4 linked regions of the Notamacropus eugenii genome follow. The protein of the gene in region 3 binds, or shares a complex with, the protein of the main gene of each other region. Links are inferred from orthologs where the notes say so. Each region holds a gene or a part of one and is shown on either strand. Other genes may lie near its edges.

Region 1 (7,361 bases), on a different chromosome or scaffold from region 3:
TATATACATATCTATAAATTGGAGATAATATCAGTAGTACCTCAGAGGATTGTAGTGAGGATCAAACCTTAAAAATGCTATCTTACTAACATAACTTCTATAGATTAAAAAGTTTAATTTACTCAATTTTGTACCAAACTAATTAATCAGTCATTCCAAAAATTGTTAATGATTTTGAAACTTGACATAAATCCCTCAAATTGTCAGTCATCAAAGTTACCTGTCTCTTGCTACAGGGAAAGAATTCCAATTAAAAGATTTAACAGGACCCAAAAATATTAAGTCATGAACTTATACATGTATGTATGTAGTTGTCAAGATCCCTAAGATCATTTTTGATCTAATCATGTTTTCCTCATGTTTTGAAAGTCTTAAAAACAAGCTGATGTAACTTACCTACTGTCAACCTAAAATAAGTTAACAAGACCATATACAATTTACCATTTTTTCTACTTAAGACTAAAAACTAAGCATTAACTTACATTTAACACTCAGCAAATATACTTACATCTTTTGCCATGTTACCAGATCCTTGAAATCAATTCTTTAGATGTTCACTCTCCAGAGAAGAAACGATAATCTTCTAGGGAATAAAAAGGCAAAAGAAGATATAAATTCAGTGTAAGATAATGGTTGGCAAAATATTGTATCTTAAGTCTAAACTGATACATTTCTCCCTCCAAAGCAAAGCAAAATGCATTCTGGGATATCAGGAACCTCCTCCCCCTTCCGATGCATACATGTATTCGATCCTGAAAGGAATCTACAAAAGCAACTTGGCTACTTCTTTTAAAAATAATTTATGGGACTAACGACATGTTATAGACAAATGTCAGTGTCTTATACAAAGGAAATTTACAAACTCTTACGCTCCCAGACTACTAACGATACCTCTAGCTCACCCCACTACAAACTAATGTCACAGGGTAACAAATATAACCATCTATACTGATAGGCAGAACAAGACTATGACGAACCTAAGACCCTCACCCCCACCACGATTAGATATGATGGATACAAGCAAACCCTCTAACCCTCACCCACGCACACGCACGCCAACCTATGCCCATGTCTATATATCCAGACTCAACCCATCCTTACACTGCCAGCACAAAAATGCACGATATATGATTCCCGCTAGCCCCCTTCCCCCAAAATATACTGAAAGGTGGAAGGGGAGGCCTTGCCCCCACTCCAGTCAGCCGCCAGCTCCACTGGCCCAGCCCTGAGCATGCTGAGAACTCTGACAGGTGTGCTTCCAAGGGAGCTCCAGGGTTAAAGTAACTGCTCTCAGGCCACAAGGCGAGCCCCGGTCCGGGATCGACTCCACAAGCCCCAGGTCCATCTGGGATCTAGATCTTCCTGACCTGTCACTAGGCCTCGGAACCACAGCCCGAGGAGGGCGAGTTCCCCCCACCCCACCCCCAGCACCGGAACTCGCAGCGAGCTCTCCACCCTGCTGTGCCATTTCAGCACCCAGGCTGGTGAAGGGGCTGCCCCCAGCCCCCTCCCCTGCCGGGGTGTCCCGCAGGGAGCTGGCCGGAGCAGGCCCCATGGACGGACACAAGCAGCAGCTGCGGCGGCGGCTCAGCCGCCTGCCCGCCCGCCAGCCCGCCCGGCCGGCCTCACCGGCCTGTGCCTCCCCCCCTCCGCCCCCCCTCCAGACCCGGGCACCACCCTGGCAACAGGCGCCATCCTGACCCTCCGCCGTGGGACCCTGCTCCCCAAAGGAGGCGCAGCGATGCTGATGGGGCGATGGGGGGCTGGAGAGAGGCCTACCACCCCTCCACCAGCTGGGCATTCCCCCCCACCTTTCTCCGTCCCATCCCCCGGACCCTTCCCCATCTGCAAAGGCAGAAAGGGGGTGAGCACCCCAGAGCCTCCGTCCACGCCGGCCCCCTCCCGTCTTCCCCTCCTCCCCGGAGCCCCGCATCTCAAGCCGGGGGTCAATTCACCTGAAGGCGTCTTCCTCCCCTCCTGGCCGCCCCCCCAAGCCAGGCCGGGAGCGCAGCGGAGCCCAGAGCCCACCACCAACTGCAACCGCTACAATGAGCAGGAGCAGCAGCGTGGGGTGGGGGGGTGGGGGGCAGAAGGATGGGAAAGGGGGGGAAGGCAAGGTCTACCCACTGCACATGTGCAACACACAGCACCAGGAAAAGAGACCCGAGGAGACACCAAGCCGTGTGCACGGCGCCCACACACAGGCGAGGCGAGGCGGGGGGCAGGGCAGAGGGGGGCCCGCCCAGGGGACCAGACCGGCCGCACGGGTTCCCCATCCCCCGCGGCTGGCCCTGCCGGCCAGCCTCCGCTCCGACCGCCCCCCCCACCCCAGGCCAGCACTAACTCTCCACACACACTCAAGTACCCGGCGGACCTCCGCCATCCCCGCCCCCGCTCCATCCTTCCCGGGCTCCACAAGGACCCCCCCCCATCCTCCCGCATGGGGCTCCAAACCCGGCTGCATCCTTCACCCCAGCCCCCACCCAGGCTGCAAGGCCGCCCCCCCGGGCCCCGCGCTGACGTGCACACGCGCCCCCAGCCCGCGAGGCCGGCTCCGCGTCCCACACCTGGCTCGCCTGGTCCCGGCGCCCGCGCCGCGGGGGGTGGGGGGCGGAGATGGGGAGCGGGGCAGCGCGGCCCCGCCGCTGCAGCCCCCGCGCACCCAGGGAGGGAGAGATCACGGGGGAGGGGAGTAGATCCCGGCAGCTCGGAGGCCGGCCTCGCTTCCCCCGACCCCCCTCCCCCCCGACTGCGCTCCCACTCCTCCCCACAAAATGGGGAGAGTCGGCCAAGGGGGGGATCAAAAAAATTGAAACTTACACTTTGTACTGGGAGCGTCAAGCCGGCGTGACGTGCCGGCAGCGCGGTGACGTGCGGCCACGAGCGGCCCCATAGAGACGGGCCCAAAGTGTCAGTTTCACCCCCGCGCGCTCCGCCTCGGGGAGCCGGGCGCGCCTGCGCGGCTTTTTCGCGCCTTTGGCTCGCTCCCTCCCTCGCTCCCGCCAGTTCTGCTCCGCCCCCGCGCTGGGCTCCCGCGGAGGGCTCGGTGTGCGTGCTCGCATGTGGTGGAGTGTCTGGCTCCGCCTGGGAGAGCGCGGGAAGCGCGCGGCGCCAAAACGTCAAAGTGGGAACCTTGAGCCCGCCGGGGATCGGCCGGGCGGTGCGCTTGGGGGAAAAGGAGGAAAAGAAGCCGGGGTGGGCTGCGGCTCGGCGGGGCGCCCCGGCCGACGGCCCCGCCATCCGCAGAGCGCGCCCCGCGGCCCGCTCCCACGCCTGCGGCCCGCGCGCCGCCTCCATTCCCGACAGCTCCGCGCATCCCCCGGGGCCGCCCGGACTAGCCGCAATGAGGTCATCTGAAAGGAGGCGCGAGGAGAGCGGCGGGCCGGGCCGGCCCCGGGCCGACGGAGCTGCGGCCACGTGCTCAGCTCCGCGGGGGGCCGGGGGCCGGCGCGGTCTGGCCTCCCATAAAACCGGGATAGAAAAGGCACCCGGCCCTGGCAGGTGCGGTGAGACGTAACGAAGGTTTGCAGAACACTTTGGGGTTCTAGGCCCGAGGCGCCGGGCCCCGGGCCCGCTTCGTGACTGCCCCGCGCTCCCCCTTACCGGCGGGGTGTCACCATTGGCCCGTTTGGGGCCGGCTTCCCGACCCCTCCCTCGGGTCCCCGGGCCCTTCTCGGGCCCCTCCGCCGAGGACGGGCGTGGCCCACGTGGGGTGTGGTCACTGTCTGACAGGACGGGGCTGCTTGGCCTGGCTGGACTGCGCCCGACCCCCCATCCCCCTTTCGTTCAGCTTCTGTGTCCTTTCCTGACCGACCCACCGTGTTCAGGCCTTTCCTCTATTAGGAGGAATACGGTTGGCTTCCTTCTCCACCACCTCTCTCCAAGGTCACTGATGCCCTTGACCTGTCAAGGTCACTCATCCGCCAAGCCCAGTGACTCTTCTCCTTCTTCATCTTCCTCCACCCCTTCCCCAGGGGCGCCGTGCACCTCCTCTACACTCCCTGCTCTGCATTCACAGGGGTCTCTTCTGCTTCTGCCTCCCGCGGTTGTTCGTTGTCATCTACCTTTTCCGATGTAATAACTCAGACTCACAGTACTTGGATGAATAAGTGCCTTCTCACCACCATCAGACACGACATCCAGGACAACCCAGGGATTCTGCTGGAGGCATAAACCCCAGGGAGCTCACCGACACAAAAAATCCACACACGCCCCAAAATATTCATAGCAGCAGTTTTCGTGGCAACAAAAAATTGGAAACAAAGTATCTTCCCCCCTTCAGCGGGTGAATGACCAATCAAATTGTGGAATATGAGTGAAATGGAAGGTTACTCTGCTGGAAGAAGCAACATACATGATGAATACAGAGAAGCATGGAGAGACTTGGATGAACTGATGCAAGGGGAAGAATTCAGAGCCAGGAAAAGAAGATGTACATAATGACTACAATAAGAACAACCACAAATTAATCAAAACTGGCCCCGAAGAAGAGATTAAAAAACAAAGGATATCTCCCTCCCCACACATTCCTTTGCAGAAGCTGGGGATACATAGATGTAGAACCCTGATTTTTTTCATTGTGTTAATCAGTTTTACTGGGGTCTTTTCTTTTTCCTTTAAAAAAATTATGTTATAAGGGATAACTCTTTAGGGACAGAGGAATATAGGGACATAAGGGAAAGACAAACATTATAAAAGCAAGAGATATTCATAAAAATCTACTTTTTATAAATGGTCTTAAAGAATTGCGTGAAGTCCAGAGGTCATTCTTAGTTACACAGATAATAACTATCAGGACCAGAACTTGAACCCAGATCCTCTTGACTAGAAGTCTACACTATATGGCATAGTGTAGACTTCTAGTAATAGTAATTATTAGTAATAGTTAATAGTAGTAGTTAATAGTAGTAATAGTAGTACTATCTTCATTATCATTATCATTTCACACATGCAGACTGAAGTTCAAGAAAGTTAACTGCTTCACTCATGCTCCTATCTAGCTCTAAATCTATGTTCCTATGCTCCCCTAGGAACATCTTCAGCCTTCTTTAATTCTCTCTATATACTCTCTCTTGGCAAACTCATTCACTCCCATGGCTTCCTTTAACACGTCTATTCAGATGGATCAAATTCCAGTCCCAAATTTCAGACCAGAAGCAACATCTCTACCTAAATGTCCAGCCAATACCACACTCTAAACATTTCACATCTTCCCTCCCCCAAAAAAAAGCCATCCTCATACTTATCCACCAATTTCTATTGATGGCACCACCAGCTGGATGTCAGTCACCCTGGTTTTCTTATGTATGATTCCTCCTCCTCCCTCAACCCCTACAAACTATCATTTTGATACTTCAGCATTACTTCTACAATCCCTGTTCTCCTTTCATCTAAACTATTAAAATAGACCTTTAAAAATATTTTTTTCAATTAGCAAGCATTTATTTTCTGATTTTCCACCTCCTGAGGAGAAAAGAATCTTACATGACAATATTGTATAATTTACTTAGTACCATACAGTCAAATTAGGAAAGGATTACTTTTTAGAGCAAGAAAAAAAATAATAAAGAAAATTTTCTGGAGGAATGAAAGGTCAAGCAAGAATTTCACCTAGGAGATGAAATAGACTCAACTAGCTTTCTTCTTTTGGTCTCCCTCTGCTCAGTTCTGTCCAACACTCCACAGCCAAAATAATATTCCTAATGTGTAATTCTGATGACATCCTTCCTGTTCTCAAAAACTTTGGGGACTCCCCATGTTTACAAAATAATACAAACTCCTTAGCCTGATGCTTAAGGTCTTCTATAATCTGGCTCTATACCTTCCCAGGCTTGTTCTGCGGTATTCCCCTTTGCACAACCTTCCAGCCAAAATGAACTACTGATCATGATTCCATAGGTCACTATCTTGTTTCCCAATACTTCCCAAATCCCTCTCTACCTACTGAAATCCTTCTTTTCCTTTAATATGTATTTCAAATGCCACCTCCTCCATGACCCTTATCCCACAAGTTAGAAATAATTTCTCCAAACAAAGTGGATGCTATTAATTGGGGAATAGCTACTGTGATACAGAAAAGTACAGTAAGACTCATGAATTGATGCAAAGAGAAGTAAACAGAACCCAGAAAATAAAAAACACATTAACAACTATATAAATGAAAGAACTGGACAGCTAGGTGTCACAGTGGATAAAGCCTGCAATCAGGGAAATATATCTTTCTGAGTTCAAATCTGGCCTCAGACACTTATTTGCCGTATGACCTTGTGCAAGTCACTTAACCCTATGTGCCTTTCCTCATTTATAAAATGAACTGGAAAGGGAAATGACAAACCCCGCCAGTATTGCCAAGAAAACACCAAGGGGGATCAGGAAGACTCGACATGACTGAACAAAATGAAAGCTCAGTCAATTAGCAATTTTTAAACACCTACTATGTTCCCGGTTCTGTGCTAAGCCTGAGGATACAGAAAAAAAAAAAAAAAAGAGGCAAAAGAAAGTCCTTGCCCCTAAGCAGGGTCTGTCAATAAGTGTTTATTAAGGGCCAACTAGTGCCAAGATCGGTGCTAAGTGCAGGGAATACAAAAAACAAAAACAGTCCCTGCCCTCAAGGATCTTACAACCTAATAGGAGAAAACATCACAAATACAAAGCTGAAAAGCAGGATAGGAGGAAGGGTGGGGAGGAAGAAGTTTGGTTGGTGGACTAAAGAGGCCAAGGAGTGAAGCTGGTAGGAAAGTTAAATGGAAGCTTTGAGCGGAGGAGTGTTTTGCTCCACCCTCCTGCTCTCCAATCTGGGAGACAAAGAGTAAGGAAGGGACTAAAAAAGGCGTGAATACCAAAACTGATGTAATTTCTTAAGATGATGGATTTCCTGGTGAAGAGGTTGCCTGGGATCCTGATGATAGGCAAACAAAGACATACAAACAAGCTACATGCAGGTTAAATAAGAAATAATTAACAGAGAGTATGCACTACAATTAAGAGGGGGTGGGGAAGCCTTCCTGTAGGTGATGGGATTTTACTTGGGACTTAAAAGGAAACCTATAAAAGGAGATGAGGAGCATTCCAGGCATGGGCTCAGCCAGAGAAAATGTCTGGAAGCCAAGACATGAAAAATCTTATTTGGGGAACCGCAAGGAAGCTGGTGTCATTGGATCAAAAAGAAGAATATCTAGTGGGGTGTGATGTATAAGAAGACTGGAACAATAATTGGAAGGTATTAAATTATGTAGAGCTTTGAACTCCAGAGAATTTTGTATTTGATCTTGGAGGCAATGGGAAGCCACTGGAGTTTAAAAGGTGACATGGTTGGACTTTCACTTTAGAAAAATCACTAGTGGCTGAAAGGAGAATGAATC
Region 2 (7,098 bases), on a different chromosome or scaffold from region 3:
TCCGTCGCCCCAGCGCACGACCAATGTCACCTCCTCAAACCCCCGGTCCGAGGAGCCCGGTCACCCCGCCTCCCACCCCCCGCCGCGCACTTGACGTCCCGCTCCCGGGCCAACAACAACGACAACAACCACAACCCCCCCTCGCCCCCGGCACCACACACGCGGCTGACCGCGGGGTTCCGGCCCCGCGGCTGCTCCGGCACCCGGGCCGCACGACTCGGAAGCCGGGCCCCCAGCCCTTCTGCCCGCCCGGCCCGGGGCCTCCAGCCCGGTCCCTTCCGCTCCGCTCCCCTCCCCCTCCTGCCCGCCCAGCAGCGGCGGCGCATCGCCCTCACCTCCGGGCGGCTCAGGGCGGGGGCTCTCCGGTGTCCCAGGCCGGCAGCTCGCGGCGCAGCCGGGCTCCTCCTCCGCTGTCGCCGCTGCCGCCGCCGCCGCCGGGATGTCAGGGGCCGGGATTGGATTTCGAAAGATCCGCCATTTTCACGTCGTCATCAGAAGCGCGGCGGCGCGGCGGCACGGCGGGCGCGGGCCCGCGGCGGCTCTGCGGCGCCCCTCCCCCGCCCGGGACACGCCCCCGCGCCGCGCCAACCTTCAAACGCGCCGCGGGCCGAGCCCTCGAGCGCCGGCCGGCAGCCGCGGGCTGGGGTAGGAAGCCGCGCGAGGCCGGGAGGGATTCCCCCGACCCAAACTTCAAGTTTCCAAGGGGAAAGGCCAGCGGGAGCTGTGCGCGTTTCTCCATGACCACCTCAGCTCGCTAACACCTTCAGGGCATACATTCCCCCTTCCCCCGGCTGGAAAGGACCAGCTCCTGGGGTAGCCTAGAGAGGGCGGGACCTTGGCCAAGGCGGGTTCAGACAGACGGGGTCACCAAAATCCCATCTTTAAAATGCATACTTTCTACACGTTCCAGACGATCAGTCCCCAGTCCACTTCCTTTGACTTACTCCTTCCTGCCCATAAAACAGACCTGCTGTTCAACCTTCCGGGTCGCTTTCGGACCTCAAGAAATGTAAACCTAATCGCCATCTGATCCAAAAGCTATTAACATTGTTGATTTAAAAAAGGGAAATCTACCCTGAGCTGAAATTGACAATCATTTCCATAGTATCAAATTCTAACTTAAAATACACATTTGCCACCGATACAGTAACATACACAAAACCTCCGGATTATGTCAGTTTCCCTAATTAGCCTCTCTTACTAAATGCAGTCCGAAGATCGACTCAAATACAAAGAAGCGTTCTTTTTTTCAACCTCTAGCTGCAAACCAGTCAACAGGCACCGATAAAAGTGCCTACTACGAGCCAGGCATTTTGCTAACGGCAGGGAACCCAAAGGGAAAAAACAATCCTTACCTTCAAGGAACTCCCAGTCTCACTAAGGAGACAACATGAAAACTATGTTCAACCAAAATCTACAGGGGAAAAGTGGGAGATAATCAACAACCAAAGAGAAAATTATGTTGAATTACAACATTCAGTAGAAATGTTTGGATCGCTAGTGCCTGGCATATGGCAGGTGCTTCACATATAAAGTATGTAAGTGCATATAGACATAGACATGCATGAGCATATATAGCCATGAATATGTGTGTATACATATACACGTCAGATTGCTAAGCCTTTGGCACAGGGCCTGGCACATAGTAAACATTACAAATGTTAGCTGTATCTACATACATACATATGTCTATGTGTGTGTTTGTATAAACTGTAAAGCGCTTAGCACAGTGCCTGGCACGTAGTAGGCCCTATGTTAGCTATTTTATGCGTATGTATATAAATTGTAAGATACCTAACACAATGCTGGCTACATAGTAGGCCCTGTTAGCTATTTTCTGTCTGTGTATATATGAATAAGTATACATACACACATATATGTACATGTGTCTGTGCATTAGCTGTAAAGCACTTAGCATAGTGCCTGGCACACAGTAGGCCCTATGTTAACTGTTTTATATATGGTGTATACACATACACCCATATATACGTATGTTTGTTAGCCATTATGTGTATATAAAAATAACAACTGTAAAGCGCTTAGCACGGTGCCTGGCACATAGTATAAGCTGCATGTCCCCAGCGCGGTGGCTGGCACACAGCACACTGTGCTGTGTTATAAAATAACAAGCACTGTTATTTTATCTGTGTATATATGCATACATACATACATACACACACAAACACCCACAGGTGACCGTGTCCGTGTCCAAGCTGTACAGCGCTCAGCACAGTGCCTCCCCCACAGTAAGCGCCACACCAAGGTGAACTTTACTATCAATTTTATTACTTATGGTATGAGCAGGTCTGCCATTCCCCCACCCTCCCGAAGTTCCGGCGGGGTTAGGGGGAAGGGAAGGGTTTGGGCGGGGCAGGGAGGGGCTGCCCCCAGCTGTCACTCCCTTTTTTCTGACACCAGCCGGGCAGGATTGGCACGCTCGCGGGCTTGGGGCGCGGGGCAGCTCTCTGCTTTGGGGGGAGACCCCCCAGCAGGGAAGGAGCGTTTCTTTCCCCAAACTTTACTCGGAGGCGAAGGGGAGGTCCCGGCGGAGGGAGGGGAGCCATGGCACACAAAGGGGCAGGAGCGCAGGGCGGGCTGCAGGGCCCCCTCCCCCGCGCGGGCGCCGCGCCGCTGCCCGTCGCTGCCCGTCGCTGCCCGGCCCCGCCCGGCCCGGCCCGGCACACCGCGCAGCCGCGCTGGCGCCGGCCCTCCACTGACAGCTCACCCCCCCCTTCCGCGCGCCAACAACCCCCCCATCCCCGGCAGTCGCGGGGTCTCCCCCTCCTCCGTCCCCCCTCCCTCGCCGCCTCCCCCCCCCCCCGTCCCGGGGGCTGACACTCACCCCCCCACCACAGCCGGCGGCGCCGCCGCCTCCTCCTCGCCCCGCGTTCCCTCCGCTCCCGGCAGCCGCGGCGGCGGCGGCGGCGGCGCCTGTGAAACACAGACCCAGGTTTGTTCAAAATCACGCGCCCAGCGCCATTCCACCGCCGCATCCCATAATAGGCTGAGCCCTCCCCCCACCGCTCCCCCTCCCTCCCTCGTCGCCGTTTCCCTCCCCTGGCAACCCGGCCGTAGAGTCGTCAATACGCTGGGCGTAGGTCACCACGTGACTAGGAGCGTGCGCTCGAGCTTTGGGATGGAATGTTCCATAGGAGTGAGAGAGGAGGGGGAAGATCGCAGTTGGAAGAGACCATTCCTGCTCCCCCCCACACACTCCCTTTTAAGGAAGTCTTCCGCGGCTGTGGTCCTTCCCCCGCCCAACCACCGTGCAATTGACCGAGGAGAGTGTGGGACTGATGGCTAACAGTAAGAACAGCTTCGTAGCGTTATGTTCTGGTCGCTAAACTGATTGGACGGGAGGAGAAAAGAATCCACCTGCCCGAAAGCCCCGAGGCACCTGGGGTCTCCGATGAGGCCCGCCGCGGGCTCGCCGACCCGATCTGCCCCCGCTCATCGTATTAACAATAATAGCTCCTGCACAGCCTCCCTCCCTCCAAACAAAGTCCAGTGCAAGTCACGTCATCATTTCTCTGATGTCCTGGTCTTCTCTGAAAACGAAGGACGAACCCAACCGCAGCAACAATAACAGCGCTTTAAAGTTTGTAAGGGGCTTTACGTAGACGCTTGTGTATCCCTTGGTCCTCCCAGCAACCCATTTTATCAGCAGAGGAAACTGAGACCGAGAACCCTTAAATGACTGGCCCAGGACCACACAGCGAGTGAGTGTCTGAGGCAGCTCAAACCCAGGTCTGGCGCCAGGAACACGGCCCCCATGTGGCTGCCTCCGTTTTACACTTCAGGAAACTGAGGTATAGAGAAGTTAACTGATCTGCCCAAGATCATATCGGTGACAGTTATTTTTAGGGAATTTCTTTGTCTCCAATATATATGCTTTTCATTTTTACATATAGCTAGGTTCTGAAGAGTGTGAATAACGGATCCCTAGAAGGCTTCTTATTATTTCGAGTTTGCGCTGCATATTTCCCTAGTGCTGGAACCAATTAATATCCATTTCACACTTCCAAATAGTGTGAATTTGAATAAATTTTCATTCATTTAATAAGTACCTATTATGTGCCAGGCTAAGGACTGGGGATACAAAAACGAAAACATGACTACCCTTTCATATATATATATATATGTATATACACACACATATATAAAACAAACTATATATAATTTCCAGTGAGGAGGGTGAAAACTACTGGGCGGGGAGGGGTTCAGCGTAGGTCTTGAGAACAAACTGGGGCTTGGGTTAAACTTTGAAAGAAGGAACGGATTCTAAGGGCTGGAGGTGAAGAGGGAATGCATTCCAGGTAAGGGACTGACAGTGTTTTAGGACTGTAAATATGTCAGCTATGGGGAAGATAGATTGAAAAGGGGAAAGACTGGAGGTGGGGAAAAAAGGTATAGATCTGTGATAGAAGATAGTTTTAACCTAGTCTAATAAATGGAGAAATGAATTCACAGCAGAGATTAATTATTCAATCCACTGACATTTGTTACTGAATACCTTGTACCACACTAGGCACTGAACAGACTGCAGAAGAAATATAAAACATGATGTTCACCTTAAAGCAGCGTATTATCTACTTTGAGAAGACGAGATATGCTCACATGAATAACAAAACAAAACGGTATAAAATATATTGTGTTGCATTATATTGTATTATTGTATATTACATCATGCTAGTGTAATAAAAACAGAAAAGCAGTTGTATTTTCTTTATACATAGAATGTTGCTGTTATGCAGCGTTTTGCTGATATGACCCTCAAGTAGGGAATGACTTTTGTTCATATTGTTATTGAGTTGTTTCCATAGTGTCTGATCCTCCATGACCCCACTTTGGTATCTTTGCCATTTCCTTCTTCAGCTCATTTTACAGATGAGGAAACTAAAGCAAACAGGGTGGAGTCAAGTGATTTGTCTAAGATCACACAGCTAGTAAGTGTCAGAGACTGGATTTGAACTCCGACCCTTCTGATTCCAGGGCCAGCGTTCTATCTACTTTGCCAACTAGCATCAATTACATAACTGATCAAAGTATACGGAAAAACAATTCTCAAAAGAAGAACCGCAAACTACAAATGACCATATGAAAGAATATTCCAAATGATTAACAATAAGAAAAAAGGAAAACAAGCCTGAGGTCTCAGTTTACCATCTATAAGATGACAAAGATGACAAAAGATGGGAACAGTTAACAGAGGAGGCGTTTAGGGAAGATAGGGTCTTTAAGGTATTGTTGGTGAAGTCTGTGATTCAGTACAACCATTTTGGAAAGCAATTTGGAATCATGTAATTTGGAATTATGTTCATTGTCTTTGACCCAGAGATTCTACTATTAGGCATATAGCACAAGGCAAGGAGGTCATTTATAAGAAGAAAGATTCTGTATCCACCAAAGTATTTATTGGCAGCATTTTTTTAGGGTACTTTTCTAAATTGGAAGCTAAGTCAATGCCCATCAACCGGGAAAAGGCTGAACAAGTTGAACAAAGAACAATCATTGCTTCTCAAAAGGTTTATAAGAAGATGCTCACAGCCACTCCTTGGCAAGAGGTGGAAAAATTATTTCTCAAAAACCATATATTAACAAAATATAAAAGGAGAATTAGTGACTAGAGTATGAAATTCTCAAAAACTGAAAACCAACAAAAATATATTGAAAATTAGAGAAACTGATAAAATGGAAATCAGAGAATAGAAGTGATGAAATTAAAAGCAGATATTCCACATATCATCAGTCTTTTTCAATGTATTGATCAATTTTGTTGATTTTTTTCTCTTTAAAAATATTTGGTTTATGAAATGGCTCTCTAGAAAAGGGAGGAGAAAGAACGCTAGGAAAAATGTCGCTGATACTTCAGTAAAAATTTCTTTTATAAAAGCAGTATTAAAGCATATGTTACAGATTGTCAGTGTCATAGGTACTCTGAGGAGAGATAAGTAAGAAATGGAGTGAGGATTCAGAAAAGGTTTCATGGGGAGATGACAAACTAAGTTTGGAAGGCTGGATCAAGAGCCTCCGGCCAACTTTGCCACCATTCTGCACCTGCCATCTCATGTAGAATTAACTTCCCTCAGGCCTCTTCACTCTGGAGTACCCCTAACAAGAATGGAAGGAAGGAAAGAAGGGAGGGAGGGAGGAAAGAAGAAAAGGGGAGAAAAAGAAGGAAAGAAGAAAGAGAAGGAAAGGAAGGAAGGAAGAGCAAAAGAAAGAAAACCCTTGACCTTACAACAGAAATCTAATCACATCAGCGCCAGGTGAATTTAGGAGGGAGCTCCACACCATTTCTTCACCAGGCAACTACTTGAAAACTCTCTTCTCCTCATTAATAAAGGAGATTGTCCGATGTGCTTAGGTATTACAATGGGACCAAAAATGCCCTGAAGCCCAGAATTTCTTGAATGACGGAGGGTGAGCCTTACAGGATGACTTAGAGGCTGCTGGCACTCGGCTGGAGTTAGGAAGACCTCGAGTACAGATTTGGCTTCAGACATTTACTGGACAAGTCATTTAACCTCTCTTTGCCTCAGTTTACTCAAGTGCAAAATGATGATCATGATAGCACCTACCTCATAGGGTTGTTATGAAGATAAAATGAGATATTAATTACAAAAGTGCCTAGCAATAGTTGGTTGGTTGTTGTCCTTTGTTTTCAAGGAGAACCAAGATGACATCTCCGTGGAGTCAAGTTTCCATGTGTCTGACTGTGGCTGATCAGGCTAATATGAGCTCAGAATGCTCTGCCACAGGCCGAGCACAGATAGTCCGTGTGAACATTTGGGATGGATTCTCTAAATTTGCGCATCCTACATTTCCTTTGTGCTGCCTCAGTTCTGCTTTGCTCATAGAGCACAGCACCCTTTCTCATGCGGGCATGCCATGCTGGGCGGTCCTGTGCCAGTGTCTCCCATTCACACTATCAATTCCAAAGTTCTTACGAGAGACCTTGAGAGTGTCCTCCTATTGCTTCTTCTGACCACCACGTGAATGCTTGTCCTGTGTGAGTTCTCCATAAAATATGCTTTCTGGCAAGCATATGTTTTGCATTCAAACCACGTGGCCAGCCCTTCAGAATTGTGCTCTCTG
Region 3 (7,597 bases):
GGAAGGGCTGACAGCACAATAAAGGTTTGGGAGAAAAGCGGGCGGGGCTGGGCGGGCCCAGAAGCCCGGACTGCAGCATTTAAAGGGCTGTCAGTCGGAGGCGGGAGGGGGAGACGTTGCCCCTCTGCCCCCCTCCCTCCGCCCGGGCAGATCCGGAGCCCCAGGGCGGTGACAGCGGTGGACTTCGACTCTCCAGCCCGAGTGGTTCCAGCGGGGCCAGGAGCAGCGAGCGGGGGCCCGCGGGCCCGGGAGGGGTGGGGGCGGGGGGCGCAGGCGCCTCCTCCCCGGCCTCGCGCCCTGGCTCTCACCTCCAGACTGTAGGTGCTGCGGATGGCCATGAAGTCGCCCAGGGCTTCGGCCGCGCTGCCCTCGTCTAGGTTCAGCTCCTGACACAGGGCCTGCAGCGCCTCCCGGGCGGCCCCAGCCCCGGCCGCCCCCAGGCTGCGCAGCTCGTCCTGAAACATCCCGCCCGTGGCCCCGGGCTTCGGCGGCCGGCGCTCGGCGCCTACGCCGCCCGCGTCCGCCTCACACTCCCGGTGGCCACGGCTCCCCCACAATCCCCCGCGCCAAAGCGCGCGAAAACTCTGTCCCGGAAAGGGGCGGGGCCTTGCGGAGCTGCGTGACAGCCCCGCCCTTCGAGTCCCTTCTCTCGGGGGCCGGCTCACCTCCCGGACCCCTCCTGCCTCCGTCCGAACACTGCTGGGAAGAGGGTTTCGGCCTGGGAGGTAGCCGCTGGTCTGTCCAAAAAGTTCAAACTGAGCTTCTGCTCCAGGGCCTGTCGGGAATTGTAGTCCGCATCCTGTCGTGGCGGACGGGAGGGGGAGGAGGACCGGCATGTCCGGGCTGCTGGAGCCCCCTGAACCGGACCTCGTGGGCTGAGTTTCTCCCACCCGCCTGGGCCCCCCCTGCCGAGATCCTTCTCCAGGGGTGCTAACGATAGCTCCAGAGCCCATTGTGGGCGCTTACGTCGAGGACGGCAAACGGGTTTGGTTGAGTTGAGAAAGTGATGGAGAACATACGAATAACGTAGATTAAACTAAAAGTGTGTAGGGAGCCCCCTCGCCCTCCCAGCGCATCAGCCCGTCCTCCAGGCCTTCCAGGCAGCTTCATCCGTGCGCCCCGGGGCGACGATGCCTCGGCCGGGACGCTGATCCTCTTGTGTGTCACGGACCCCCTTCTCAGAACGGGAAAATAATGCGAATTTCAGGTGAAGAACTGCAGTCCTCCACTGTCTTCGTCCGAGGATGGGAGACAAGGGAAAATGAAGCACAGGAGGACGTTGGAAGCCCGGGGGTGGGGAGGGGTTTGCTTTGTTTTTGTTTTGTTACCTGAGCAGGAGTTCGCTCTGCGGGGTCCACCCCCACCTCTGACCTCCAAGTGGAGCCTGCCAGGCGCAGAGACCTCGCCATCTCCCAGAGGGGACCGTTCGAGAGTTGGAAGCCCTAAATGAACACTCTTTACTGAACCAAAATCCGCCCTCCAGCTTCTTTAGGTCGGTCCAGATTTCATTTTCTTTGTTAAAAACAAAAACAAAACAACACTGATGAAACTCCTCGTTTTAAATTTTCAAACTTTACATTCTATTCTATATAATCATTATTCTTATTTTGAAATCCAAAGGATCTGCAGCCAATGACGAGTCGCTGAATAATAGGTAGCATTTACATATCGCTTTTTAAGGTTTGCAAAACCTTATCTCATTTTATAGGTATATGTGGATATTATGTGTGTATATACATAAATATATGTAACGGTGTGGCACCTATCTGTATGTTAACTCATTTGAGTTAGGTGCTATTATCATTCCCATGGTATGGAGTCAGTTAACTAGCATTTATTAAGCACCTCCTTTGTTCTGGGCACTGCTAAGCACTGAGGACACGAAGAAAGACATAGTAGTACCTGGTCTCAAGAAGTTCACCTGGGGAGGGGAGCAGAAAACACAACAGCCATGTATGAATATAATATATGCAGGGTAAATTGATGATCTCAAAGAGAAGGTCCTAAGATTAAGGAGGATTAGGGAAAAATTCTTGAAAAAGGTGGGATTTTAACTGAGACCAGAAAGAAACTCGGGAAGCCGAGAGGCAAAACTAAAAGAGGAAGGAGAGCATTTCAGGAATGGGAGACAGGCAGTTAAAATGCTCAGGAGTCATAGAGTATGTATGGGGGGATAAGGTGTAAGAGGACTGGACAGGCAGGAAGAGGTGGGGTTTTGGAGGCCTTTCACAAGCAAATGAAGAAAATGAGAACAAGAGAGGTTAAGTGACTTGCCCACAGTCACTCAGCTAGTATCTGAAGCAGGCTTCAAGTTCAGATCAATCCAAGTCCAGTGCTCCAAGACCACTTGGCTACCTCCAAATCAAGAACCATAAGATTTAGGGACCAACTCCTTCAATTTACAGATGAGAACTGAGGCCTCAAACTCAGAACTGAGGACATCAAAAAGTTTGTAAGCCATAGAGTTAGGATGTGAAAACAGGACCTCTGATTCCAGGTCAGATCTTTCCCCTTATCTCAGACTTTATCTTAAAGGAGTTGTTTAAAATGAGACAGCGATGCTTTAAAGGCTGATTATTTTTACCCACGATATAGTGAAGGTGGACCCAGGAAAAATCACGTAGAAGGTGAAGAGGAAATATTTGACCAACTCTTAGCAGCTACTTTCAAATCACTGTCCCTAATTGAAAAGCAATTTGATCTTCCCTGCTCCATAGCATGCAGCTAGTGGTAAAGTGGATAGAGCACGGGCTTAGAATCGGGAAGATGCATCCTTATAAGTTCATGTCTGGTCTCAAACACTAGCTGGGTGACCCTGGGCAAGTTACTTAAGATCATTTACCTCAGGTTTCCTCATCTGTAAAATGAGCCAGAGAAGGAAATGGCAAACCACTCCCATATCTTTACCAAGAAAACCCCTTATGGGGGTTAAACTTATGAGAGTTAAACACCATTGAAACAACTCAACAAAGACAACACTCTATGGCAGAGAATAAAAAAGAAAAGGAACTGAAAAACAAAAGAAAATCAAAGGATGCACTGCTAGACCTGTCAACTAGAAGGATCATGGTATCCATTTAAGAAGAGACTAATTGGAGTAGGGAAATTCTTTGCAATTTTCATGTAGGTATCTCTCATGTTTTCATTTCATCTAGACTGCAACTACAAGATAATGTGGTTCATAAAAATGAACCAATTACAAAGGAAGCATTCCAACCAAAGATCCCAAACGTAACAGGAAATTTGAGTTTGTTTGTAGCATGGACTAGGTAAAGTATAGGGAGGAGTATGAAATAAAAATGAAGAGGTTTAGTGGTGCCAGATTGCTGACAGTACCTGACTAGGGATGAGTCAATAATAGTATGCTTACTCAATGAAATAGCTCCATTTTTCTTATATGTTGTCTTATATGTTACCTTTGACTTTCATTCACCCCCTGCCCTTTGTTATTATCAGTCTGATTCCTTTGCTATCTCTAAAGTTCATCTACTCCATTGATCTCTGCTTGTGACCATCACACAAGATGAAGAACTGGATGGATATATGCTCTATGGTTTCTCCTACTTCTTGCTGGTCACTGGTCTAGGAAAAAAAGGCCCTCCAGCAGTCTAGAGCTAAGCTATTCAGCCTTGGAATGAATACTGTGTAGAGCTGAGCTGAACTGAACTAGCTGAGAATGAGCACCTACAATATACCATCTCCCTCTATAATTAATACGGTCCCAGGTCTACATTGACCCTTGCCTTGACCATCAGGCAGGACCAAGGACATCTGCTCTGCTACCTCAAGTGTACATACCTCCCCATCCCCTGCCTTCTTCTCAAGGACTGATAATCAAATACATTACTAGTATTGCCTTATGACAATATCTCTGTGCTTCAGTTGGGTGAGTATGTTGAAGTTTCTCTCACTATAGCTCCATGCTCCCTCATATCCATCCATGTTAGCCCTAACCAAAACTCTCTGGAGTCATTAGTCTATTTTTTTCTACTTTTCTATTGTACTCAGTCAACTGTTGGTGCAGTGGATAGAGCACCAGACCTGGTGTCAGAAATCCAGCCTTCGACTCTTACTAGCTGGGTGATTCTGAGTAAGTCACTCAATCTCTATTTCCTCAACTGTAAAATGGTAATAATAATAACACCTACCTGGCAGGGTTGTTGTGAAGATCAAATGAGATGATAATTTTAAGAGCACTTAGCATGAGGCCTCGTCCATGAGAGGTATCACATAATTACTTGTTCCCTTCTTCCCACTCTAGAATTCCTGTCTTATTTTTTCTAATTTTTCTTTTTAAAATTTATTTGTTTGCAGTTTTCTACAATCACTTCCATAAGTCTTAGATTTGCTCCTCCTCCCTCCCCACTCCCTCCCCAGACAGACAGCATGCAATCTTATATGGGTTCTACCCATACATTCTTATTAAATACATTTTCATGTTAGTCATGTTGCATGGAAGAATTAAAATGAATGGGAGAAGCTATGAGAAAAACCCAAACAAAACAAAACATAACACAAGAGAAAATATTCTACTTCATTCTGCTTTCCAATTTCATAGTTCTTTCTCTGGATGTGGATGGCATTTTGCCTCAAGTCCTTTGGGAATGTTTTAGGTCCTTGCATTGCTGTGAAGGTTAAGTCTACCAGAAAAATTCTTTGCACACTCTGGTTGTTACTATGTACAATGTTCTCCTGGTTCTGCTCCTTTCACTCAGCATCAATTCATATAAGTCCTTCCGGGCCTCTCTGAAGTCTTCCTGTTCACCATTTCTTGTAGCACAATAGTATTCCATTATATTCATCTACCACAACTTGTTCAGCCATTCCCCAATTGATGGGCATTCCCTTGATTTCCAGTTCTTGGCCACCACAAAGAGAGCTGCTATACATATTTTTGTACATGTGGGATCCTTTCTCATTTTTATGATTTCTTTGGGATTCAGTCCTAGAAGTGATATTGCTGAGTCAAAGGGTATGCACATTTTTATAGCCTTTTGGACCTAATTCCAAATTGCTCTCCAGAATGGTTGGATCAACTCACAGCTCCACCAACAATGAATTAGTGTTCCAACTCTCCCACATCTTCTCCAACATTTATCATCTTCCTGTTTTGTCATGTTAGAGAATCTGATAGGTGTGATGTGGTACCTTGGGAACTCCTGTCTTATTGATAATGTTGTCCTTTATATTAGACCAATACCCCCTAGTACCTCAAATTTCTTTGCATATCTTTTATATTTATGTGTGTACATATTATTTCTCTCCAAAGGGCAGGAACAGCTTATTTTATCTCTTTAGTCCCCATACCTAGTACAATGCCTGGCCAGGTATGGGCCCTTCATGCTTGTTAAATTAAATAGGATCAGCTATTTCTCTTGATTTCTACCTCCATGCCATTTGGTTAAATTCTCACCTCATTCATCTTTTTGCCTTATAATCTTTTCCATCTCCTAATCAATCACATATCCTAATTTCAAGTTAAGCATTCTCACACTGATCAGCATACTCCCTGTTTAGGAATCCAGTCACTCCAAAGCTTAAACTCATCCTAGCCTGGAGGCTCTTTGCTGTCTGACTTCATTTTTTGGTATTCATATCATACTGTCTAGGTTGTAGCTGGGCTGATCTTCCCCTAAATATTACTCATACTTTTCCCTCTCCTTAGAATGGTTTCTATATCATCTTACTATTAGCTTTTGTTCCTTTTTTGACTCACTTTTCAGAATCATTCCTTACCTTGTTTTGAGTTCCTTAATACATACAGGTATATTAAAATCTATAACCTTTATAGTCTCTGGTTGATGGAGTTCTATTAGTCCTACTCTAACAGAATATAAGTTCCTTAAAAGCAGGATCTATTTCACAGTTATCTATAAAACCAGTTCCCAGCACATAGGTGCTTAATAAATGACTATGGATTGAGTTTGGTTGCTGCTATTCTCTTCTTGGGAAAGCTGCTTGAGAGTAGGGATTCTGTTTTTACATCATTATTATCCTTCTTTGGACCCCTCCCTCCCAGCATGGAGTACAAGTCTATGACAAATGCTTTAATAATCACATATAAAATGAAAGGGATTTTTCCATAAACACATTTTGCCTATTACCTTAGAGTTTGCTCATTTTATCTAATACGAGCTTAGGCTTTCTGAATAGAAAAGAATAATGAAACGAATCTACCCTTGCATGGACTCCTAGACCTAAACACAAGACAACATTATTCATCAATCACGTATATTGCTATGTTTATTTAAACCCTCAAGGGATATCTAATAGTGGAGTTAAATAGTTGCTGTTACCATATTTAATATTTCAGTGATCCTTTAGAACAAATGCAGCATTGCCCCTCAGAAAAATCCAAACACCTGACATTCCAACGGTCAAAAAGGGGCAGTTGATCTTGACAGGGGAGGGGGCCAGCCCTGGGCTCACCATTCTTGCTGGGAGAAGAAATTGGCTAGGTAGTTTTTGAGGGGAGGAAGCAGTAATGGGTTGCTTGGAAGTTAAAATTCTTGAGTTCTGGATCAACTTTTACTTACATATTTTGTAGTCTTTGAGCAGGAAAAAGATAAATTGAAGAGCACACAGACTTGAAAACAGTATAGTTGCATTTTTTTAGGTCACTGTCCAACAAATCAAAGGCCATCTCCAGGGGGTTATTTCTGGCTACTAAGATCTTCAAGTGACTATCTAGCCACAGAGGGCATAAAGATCAAGGTACTTCCCATCAGCATTTGCTATACTTAATTCCAAAATTAAGGAGGTAAACTTTCCTTACCAAAGCCTCAAACCCTAGCTTTGCAACAACAGGAGTCACTTAGACATAGGCCTGGTGTTTAATTTCATTTAAGGAGTCATTCTAAAAGAGTAAAGAAATCAGTGCCTGAAAGGGAATGTCAAGCTTTAAGATGCAACAAGCCAAATTATCCAAAAATTTCACTTTCAAGTACTTCAGACACCTCAGTTAAGAGGAGTTTTGGACACTTGTTATTTTAGGCTTTTAAAAAGGCTACATATATAAAACCTATTTCTTTCATTCTTTTCCTCTCATGCTAGTTTTCACAGCCAGGCAGTCAAGTTACTTCCTACCCCAAACTAAATTTAACCTAGCTCATCTTCCTTTATCACCACAGTTCTTTGACCTATCCCTTTTGTTCTTTGGATGAAAGTGGAAAAAAAAATGCTGTATAGCAACCTCTTGTTAAATTGCTTGAATTTACTGTAATGATTAGAATCAGGCATAAAATTAAAAGTGGGCCATCCTACATGATGTGTATGAAGCATTTATGTTTCAAGTATTTTACTGATGAGCACAGTCAATATGAAAACAGCACACACACTGGAGCTTCAGTAATATTGCTATTATTTAAGATATGAAGGCAGTGTCATCTCTCTTTAGGTGGTGAAAAATAACATTAAAATATAAATTTTCATATCTAAAAGCAAATTTATTTGTCACTAAGGTCTAGAAATTTTACATGCTAAGACACTTACAAAAGGGAGAGCAGCCAGTTTGTTCATGGTATTATATGAGTGAGTTCCATCCTGTACTTCCTTCAATACTAGAGTATTTTCACATATATGGCAACTGATCATAGTG
Region 4 (7,567 bases), on a different chromosome or scaffold from region 3:
TTTATAATTCCAGAGCTTACAACAGTGCTTGTCCTATGCTAAACACTTAATAAATACATCATCTCAGGAATGCCTTACAACAATACCAAGGTAGGAGACTACTCTCATCTCCTGATAAAGACACCGAAGCTGAGAGAAGTTAAATGATTTGCCAAAGACATACAAGCTAATGAGTTTCACACAGGGTTGGAACCAAGGGCTTCCTGACACCATCTAAAAATTACACACATATATTCACAACCTGAGTCATTACCTCAACTGGACATGAGTGTACTAACAAGGACAAAGTAATTTTCTGTTACTGAAAAGTAGTATAATAGAGACTAGTTTTTCTGCATCCCAACTGTAAAGTTTAGAACTATATTACAGAGTAGCTTTGTTCAGTTAAGCAGAGCCCTCAGTTGTATTATTTAATTTTAGTACAGAGAGAAATTCGATCATTACATGATAGAAGACTTTTTATTCTTTCACAATGTAATGTACATTATAATTGCCATGAATGTAAAATCTGTATGCTGTGTCTTACACACAGTCATTATACTTTTCAGTCAACATTACAGTTGGAATTTAACAAAATAATTCATTTTTGTAGCTCAATACTGTCTTTTTTGATTCATATTTTCTAAATAGGTCAACGAACAGCTTTACTTTATGTTTCTGTAATTTGAGGATATTGAAATTCTTGGGGTCACAGCAGTTGCAGTACAAAGGATGATCATCGAGGAAAAATTTTAATTCCATTAAATGTATTTTTAAATGACAAGTTGTATGACAGAATGGACCTAATTTATACTAGGGCCAGAACCATATTCAACATCTCTTTCAGTCTGAAATAACATGGAAGAAAAATGAAAGGAATGTCTAAAAACTTAATTTTATATACAGGAGAAGAAAAGAATAAAACCAATTTGGTTCATAAAGTGACTAATAAAAATATCCAATAGAAATAGGCATTCTCAATTAATTGATTCAGATATTTCTTGCTATAACATAAACCAAAAAATCCCTGTGCTTTTAGGGGAATTCCCACTACTACGGAAACAACGTTCACGTGAAACATCAAACACCAGACACGACATAACTAGGTAGGTAGTAAACGATTAATAGATTATTGAGTGAAATAGTAAGCTAAAATTCCCGAGTCAAACAGCAAGAATGGGATGTCACTTTACTGAATGAGTATATGCTGGAAGGTATTTAAAACCGGTCTGCTATTCCCACAGAGGCGTTTCTATAACTTTAATGGCAAATTCCTAACCATGGTTTTGCAATCTCCCACACTGTCTCTTAGTATTTCAAGAGGGGTGGTGCAAGCCAAGGCAGAAATAAAATTAAGTTCACTTTAAGCTAAAAGCAAAATTTATGCTATCAACACTCACTTGTAGAAAGGCAAGTCCACATAAAATTCGTTTGCAAAAAGGTTAGGAAACAGAGAAAATTAAAGTACAAGGCAGCTTTAACAGCAGACAAGTGTATGCACATTGTGTATACAAAACGAATGCAATCTGTGCTGATGAATAAGCCCATACATACGAACTTTCTGAAGACCTCATCAGAACGACTGGCTCTCAAACTGGTACTGTCTCTATGACCGCACACAGTTTGGGCTTTCCAGACCCCCTGTGGCTCTACTTCCACCGCCTCGGAACTTCCCAGGGATCCCCCGGGGACATTTCAAGCCTGATAAGTTTATGGTGGGGGATCTCAGAGGGCTGCAACGAGTGGAACTGTAAAACTGGGCTGGAATCGGCGGCCAGGATCCCCCCACCCCCCACCCCGCCCCACTAGGGCTGGGTCTTACTCCTCCGACTGGCTCAAGGTCAATCCAAGCCAAGAACTCGTCTTTCCAAAGTCCCGGCGGGCTGCGGCGCTCTTCCGAGCCGGGCTGCAGGGCTCGGTGACTGGACTTCGTTTTCACAGCGAGCGGCAGGGACGCCGAGAGCATCCTCCTCACGCACGGCGTGTTTCTGGACGCGCCGCCTTCATTCCCTCGGGAAAGTGTCCCACCGAAAGGTGGAGAAGGCCGAATCTCTGAATTCCATTCCTCTCTCCCGGCCCAGGACGGCCTCCTCGAAGCGACTTCTCCAGCCTAACTTCCTCAGGGTGAAACAGAACCAACCGCACAGCTAGGGAAGGCTTCGCTGCCCGGTGCCTGGGCCCGGTGCCTGGGCCCGGGGCAGGGTCTGGGCAAGGTCTGCGTCCGGCAGGAAAGCCGCGGAGTTGGGTTGCCTTAGCCAAAAAAAGCCCCACTTCGGGGGGCAGAGTCCGGACAGCCCGCATTCCCCGGCCCCCGCCATTCCTCCCATCCAACGGACAAACCGAGCTCCCCCGGCATCCCACCAGGAACAAGTACCCGGAGAGCCGGATTGGAGGAACGCCCCAAATCGTGGATAAAGCCCCTGAAATCACAGGGAAATCCTGGAGGGCGCCCGGAAAGGGACTCTCCGCCCCTCCCCCCGAGGCGCGCGCCCAGGCGGAGTGGGGAGGGGGGCGGCGGGTTCGAGCCCCGGCCTCGCCTGACAAAGGGCCGGCCCGGGGCGCCTCAGCCCGGGGTGAAGAACCGGCCATCAGGCGGCCAAAGGATGCAGGGGCGGCTGGGGGGTCCCGAGCCCTTGGAACGACGTGCTGGCAGCGGCGGCGAGCACCGCCCCCATGGCAGAGGGCACCCCCAGGCCGGGGCGGCGAGGCCTAAGCCGCGCGCCTGCGCCAGTCCCCGTCTCCGGTCGGGAGGATACCCGAGCTCCCGGCCCCCGCGCAGCTCTTACCGCCTTGAGATCCAGGACCCCGTCCTTGGCCTCCTGCAGCAGCGACACGAACTTCGTGGTGAGCAGGCCCAGGCTCTTCTCGTGGCGGCTACTGCCCCCGCTCCCGCCGCCCCCGCTCCCGCCGCCTGGGGGCGCTGCGGGCGGCGGCTGCGGCTGCGGGGGCTGCCCCTGGCCTGGCGACGGCTGCTGGCCGGAGCTCCCGGGCTCGGCCGCCGCCGCCATGCCGCCCGCCGCCGCCTCCGGGCGCGGAGCCCAAGCCCTCAGCCCCGCGCGCCCGCCGAGCGCAGGTGCCCCGAGCGGCGCCCCCACCGCGCGATCGCCCCCGCCCCGACCCCGCCGCGCTTCCGCGAGCTAAACCGCCTGGGCTGCGGGGCTGGGGGCGAGCGAGGGAAGGAGATAGGAGCCGCAGGGTGGAGAAAGGAGTTTAAATGGCAGGAAGTGACGCCAAAGCCCGCCGTTGCCCGGAGACGCTTTTTTGTCCTCCGACCCGGAGTGAGAGGGGAGATGGAGAGGAGGTGCTGGAGGGGATGGTGCGAGGGCCCAACTGAAGGGCGCGATGAAGGATTTCACGTCCACACCTTTCTGTTCTGGGGCTCCGACGGGCAGCTGAGCTTGTCACCGCCTTGGAAAATGACCACTGGGGACAAACAGAAATTGGGGCGGGTCCGTGTCCCGCGTGCACCTCTGAACGCTGGAGTGGCCCCAGAAAGCCCGAGGACACCTCTTCCCCAGCATCTTGTTCAGCTTCGGAGAAGCCTTCGTTCCTATAGCCTGTCGGTGGGAATTAGGACACGTGTCTTGTCCAATTCCTTTATAAATTAATCCACCAGAAAGCGTTCATCAAGTGCTTACGGCGTTCCAGGCCCTGTGCCAGACCCCCCGGGGGGACAGATACAAAGTGTAGAACAACCCCTGCTTTCCACTCCACCTCCCCCCCAGCTGTTGTGATGGGCGAGCTTCTGGACACTGGGAATGGTTTTCCTTTTAACCCTTGGAAAGCTCCGGGGTTTAATCCCTTTGCACCTTAGCACGTGGTTACAAAAATGTTTATGTCTTCCTCCTTAAAAAAAAATAAAAGCCTTCCCTTGATCCTTCCACCAGATCTAGTTATAGCCTGTCCCTAACCCTTTGGTGCAAGTAAAAGAAGTCTTGTAGGATTGTCTTGTTTTTACATCAAAATCATATCCAAATATGTCCTTTTCTCTTCACCTGCGCAGTGAAACTTCCATAATCCTAGTTTTTCCTCTTTCCAGGAAAAGAAGGGATATTTTTATTTCTTCATTTCTTCTCTGGGGCTGAACAATTACAATTACATGTTGTTTTCTGCTTTGTTTTTCATGTAGTGGCTAAGTATGTTGTTTTCCTGGATCCGCTTATTTCACTTGCATCCATTCATGCAAGTCTCAAGTTTCTCCATATTCTCCATATTCATTGTATCTTATGGCAAAATATTATGTTACTTAAATGTGCCACAGTTTGTTTAGTCATTTCCTTAACTGATGGGCAGCCAGCCACTGGTTTGAAGTTTGAAAAATCATTATTAAGTTCCTTGACAAACACTTCCAAATGCAATGATTTCATGGCATCCTTTCCTTTCTCCTCAGCCTTTGCAGTCTGGCTTCTGCCACCACCATTGAAATGAATCTCTTCTCTCAAAGGTCACCAATAACCAATTAATCACCAAGGCTGTTTTTTGTTTTGTATTGTTTTGAGTTTTCATCCTCTTTCTCTGTAGTTTTTGAGAAGGTGACTGCCTTCTCCTACTGGATGTTTTTCTCCCTTGGTATCAGATAAATCTTATTTTCCTGGTTCTCTTACACAATTTCTAATTTTTCCTTTGCTGGTTCTTCCTCAGTCTTCCTTTTGCCTTTAACTGAGTGTTCCCTAAGGTTCTGTAAGCTCCCTCTCCCTCCCCCTCTCCTTTTCTATCTTCCTCTCACTATCTCCATATTTATGTATTATGTTTTTTGTATGTCTGTACATGCATTCTCCTTTGGTAATCTCCACACTTTTGTCTCTTTTGCAGATTAACTCTCAAATACTCTATCTGTAGAGCTCCAAATCCATATTCTAACTATAGATCAAGTTTATTATCTTAATCCCTAAAACTGCTCTTCCTTCTAATTTCACTATTTCTGTCAGCAACACCACCTCATCCATTTTTCCCAGTACCTTTGAGGCAACATGGTATAGAAGAAAAGAGTGGCTCTAGGTTCTAATCACAATTCTGAGATTTTATACCTGTGTGAACCTTGGGTAAGTTATTTAACCTCCTTGGCCTCAGTTTCTTAATCTATAAAATGAGAGAGTTGGACTAGATGTCTTCTGAAATCCCTTCCAGTGGTAGATCTGTGATTCCGTTAGGAAAGGATATTGTTCTTGGAGTCAGCAGATTTGAGTCCTGGGCCTATCACTAAGCATGTTACTGAGCAAACCCCTTTCTGAGGTTGTTTCATTTATAGAAGGGGGATCATAATGCTTCTGGAAGGAAAGTATATTTTAAACCTTAATGTGCTACATACACATGAACTCTTATTTTATCTTACTATAGGATGTCCCTCCCCATCTCCTCCTCTACTTCCATTACCCTAATAATTATTGTAGCCTCCTAACAAGTCTTTCTGCTTCCTTCCATCTCTTCTTCTTCCAATCTATACTTCATGATTCAGTTACAGTAATCTTCCTGGGGCGTAGACATTGCTGTTCAGAAACTTCAGGGACTCCCTATTGCTTCCAGAATAAACAAATTCTTTTTCCTGACATTCAAGGTTCTCCATGATCTGGCACCACACTACCTTTCCAGCTTTATCACAGTGCCTAGCACTGTAACTGGTATATGGTATATACTTACTTGATAAATATTACTGTCCTCCATGCATTTTATCCTATAACCAATGGATTACTCTAAGACTTTTTCCCCATATCTTTGCTTCTAAAGTTGATGTTGTTCCAGTACTGTCTTCTACACTCCTCTGCCTACTGAATTCCTACTCATCCTTTAAACTTCAAAGCTGCCTCTTCAATGGAATCTTTTCTGGTTCACCTTCTCAGTAACAACTTTTCCCTTTTGATGTAACCATCATTATTGTTGAGTACCTTATTTCATTCATAAATATGGTGAAGACCTCTTGGAGGGGGATCCTACTTCATTCATCCTTAGGCAGTCTCATTTTCGGAGAATCTAATTGTTAGAAAATTTGTCCTTACATTAAGCTATTATTAAGCCTATATTGCCTCTTTGCAATTTCCTCTCCGGAGCAAAGGAGGAGAAGCTTAATACCTCTTCTATGTGACAGTCCTTCAAGAATTTAGACAAGTGACATTTGCCTCCTAAATGTTATCCAAACTAAATAGCTCCAGTGTGAGTCTGATAAGACATACTCTTCAGTCCCTTCACTATCTGTTCATTCTCCCCTGAATTCTCTTCAGTTTGAGTTAGGAGCAGGTGATTCAGAAGTTAATGTGATACTCCAGATGTGGGCTGGGTACAATGGAACTATCATATCCTATATAATCCTATATATTAGACTGCATTCCAATTCATGCAGCCTAAGATCATATTAGGTTTTTTGATAATCAGGTGACATTTGCCTTGTATTGAGCTTGCAGGCCACTAGAAGTTTAAGATCTTTGGTAAACTGAAGTGATTTCCTCAAGAAGCTTTGCTTCTACAAGTGGCAATGAAAAAAAACCTCACAGTATAAATCAAAATGAATGCTAGTTGTAGAGAGATACACAAAAGTACTAAGAGGAATGTTGGAGTGACTGGAGTCAGGTAGGATTATGATGAAAAGGCTTCATGGACAAAGCCATTTTTCAATAGGACCTTGAAGGAAGGAATGTGGTTTGGCATAGTAAAGAGGAAGTGTGGGAAATGGCATTTGTGATATATGATTTCAAGTAGGAGCAGGGGAGTAAATAGATTTGCTTTCTTGGAGGTAAGACTACAAGTCTGGCAAAAGATGGTGGCACTTCCGTAAAGAAGAGGAACAAAGTTGAGACTTGAAACTTTTATCATTGAAGAATTTGAGAGCCACTAGGGTACAACGAGGAGTAACATAAACCAAACAATATTTAAAGAACATTGTTCTTGCTTCTGTCTGTTTGGTGTATTAGGTGGGCAAGTTCAGAAAGAAGTGATATAATCCTTTTTGATATATAGTGATTAAAGGATGAAGGAAGGATTAAAACTAATGGAAAACTCAGCTATTATTTTTTACTTCGTCAGTTAATGAGTAAATATTAAGTGCCTTTTATGTGCCAGGTACTAGGCAAAAAAGTCCTTACCCTCAAGAAACTCACAATCTAATATGGCAAAGTACAACCAACCAAACAAGCAAGGTATATGTAGGTTAAATAGGAATAATTAAAAGAGTGGAGGCACTAGAATTAAGAGGGGTTGGGAAAGGCTTCCTGTAGAAGATGGGCTTTTAGTTGGCGAGTTAAAGGAAACCAGTTAGGCAGAGATGAGGAGGGAGTGCATTACAAACATGGAGGCATGAATTTCCAGAGAAAATTAAAATGTTAAAAGAAGGGGACCATTTTATTTGCAGAACAGCAAGAAGGCCACTGTTGCTGGAAAGAAGAATATGTGTTGGAGTAGGTTGGAAACTAGAAAGGTAGGAGGGAGCTGGGTTATGAAAGGCATTGAATACAAAACAGAGATTATAACGGATTGTAGAAGATGAATTCAGATTAAAATATTTAATGTTGGTAACACAACATCTACATAAAAATGCTCAGCTAGAGCTGTCAACAAAGAACTGGGGGTGGACCACATATGAGTGGCAAACTGTGTGATC

Evidence for each region.
Region 1: the proteins of RBL1 (region 3) and TFDP1 are in contact, whole or in part, in a crystal structure (PDB 5TUV), measured with the Homo sapiens proteins. The link is inferred for Notamacropus eugenii from reciprocal best matches to the Homo sapiens genes RBL1 and TFDP1. Residues at the interface, in NP_002886.2 of Homo sapiens: Tyr1004, Phe1006, Asn1007, Ser1011, Leu1014, Ile1017, Asn1018, Ile1021; in NP_009042.1 of Homo sapiens: Pro260, Phe261, Ile262, Thr290, Phe291, Glu292, Ile293, His294, Asp295, Ile297, Glu298.
Region 2: RBL1 (region 3) and LIN54 share a complex: the UniProt entries of both Homo sapiens proteins name them as parts of the DREAM complex. The link is inferred for Notamacropus eugenii from reciprocal best matches to the Homo sapiens genes RBL1 and LIN54.
Region 4: the proteins of RBL1 (region 3) and E2F5 are in contact, whole or in part, in a crystal structure (PDB 5TUV), measured with the Homo sapiens proteins. The link is inferred for Notamacropus eugenii from reciprocal best matches to the Homo sapiens genes RBL1 and E2F5. Residues at the interface, in NP_002886.2 of Homo sapiens: Ser1000, Ala1001, Leu1002, Leu1003, Tyr1004, Lys1005, Phe1006, Asn1007, Ile1017, Met1020, Ile1021, Gly1024, Glu1025; in NP_001942.2 of Homo sapiens: Met162, Ile190, Ala192, Pro193, Ser194, Gly195, Thr196, Gln197, Leu198, Glu199, Val200, Pro201, Ile202, Pro203, Glu204, Met205, Tyr213, Leu217.

What each region holds. Positions count from the first base shown.
Region 1 is NC_092877.1:207,440,050-207,447,410, forward strand, and holds the start of TFDP1 (transcription factor Dp-1), read right to left. Parts: upstream 3,006-7,361; 5' UTR 2,821-3,005; intron 2,805-2,820; exon of another isoform or gene 2,568-2,804; intron 2,224-2,567; exon of another isoform or gene 1,956-2,223; intron 584-1,955; 5' UTR 521-583; coding exon 509-520; intron 1-508. UniProt on the Homo sapiens protein: Can stimulate E2F-dependent transcription.
Region 2 is NC_092878.1:150,599,517-150,606,614, forward strand, and holds the start of LIN54 (protein lin-54 homolog), read right to left. Parts: upstream 3,011-7,098; 5' UTR 2,994-3,010; coding exon 2,843-2,993; intron 479-2,842; exon of another isoform or gene 336-478; intron 1-335. UniProt on the Homo sapiens protein: Component of the DREAM complex, a multiprotein complex that can both act as a transcription activator or repressor depending on the context. In G0 phase, the complex binds to more than 800 promoters and is required for repression of E2F target genes.
Region 3 is NC_092872.1:427,722,637-427,730,233, forward strand, and holds the start of RBL1 (retinoblastoma-like protein 1), read right to left. Parts: upstream 3,020-7,597; 5' UTR 954-3,019; coding exon 309-953; intron 1-308. UniProt on the Homo sapiens protein: Key regulator of entry into cell division. Directly involved in heterochromatin formation by maintaining overall chromatin structure and, in particular, that of constitutive heterochromatin by stabilizing histone methylation.
Region 4 is NC_092875.1:317,362,735-317,370,301, reverse strand, and holds the start of E2F5 (transcription factor E2F5), read right to left. Parts: upstream 3,003-7,567; 5' UTR 2,988-3,002; coding exon 2,766-2,987; intron 1,946-2,765; coding exon of another isoform or gene 1,802-1,945; intron 1,724-1,801; exon of another isoform or gene 1,534-1,723; intron 1-1,533.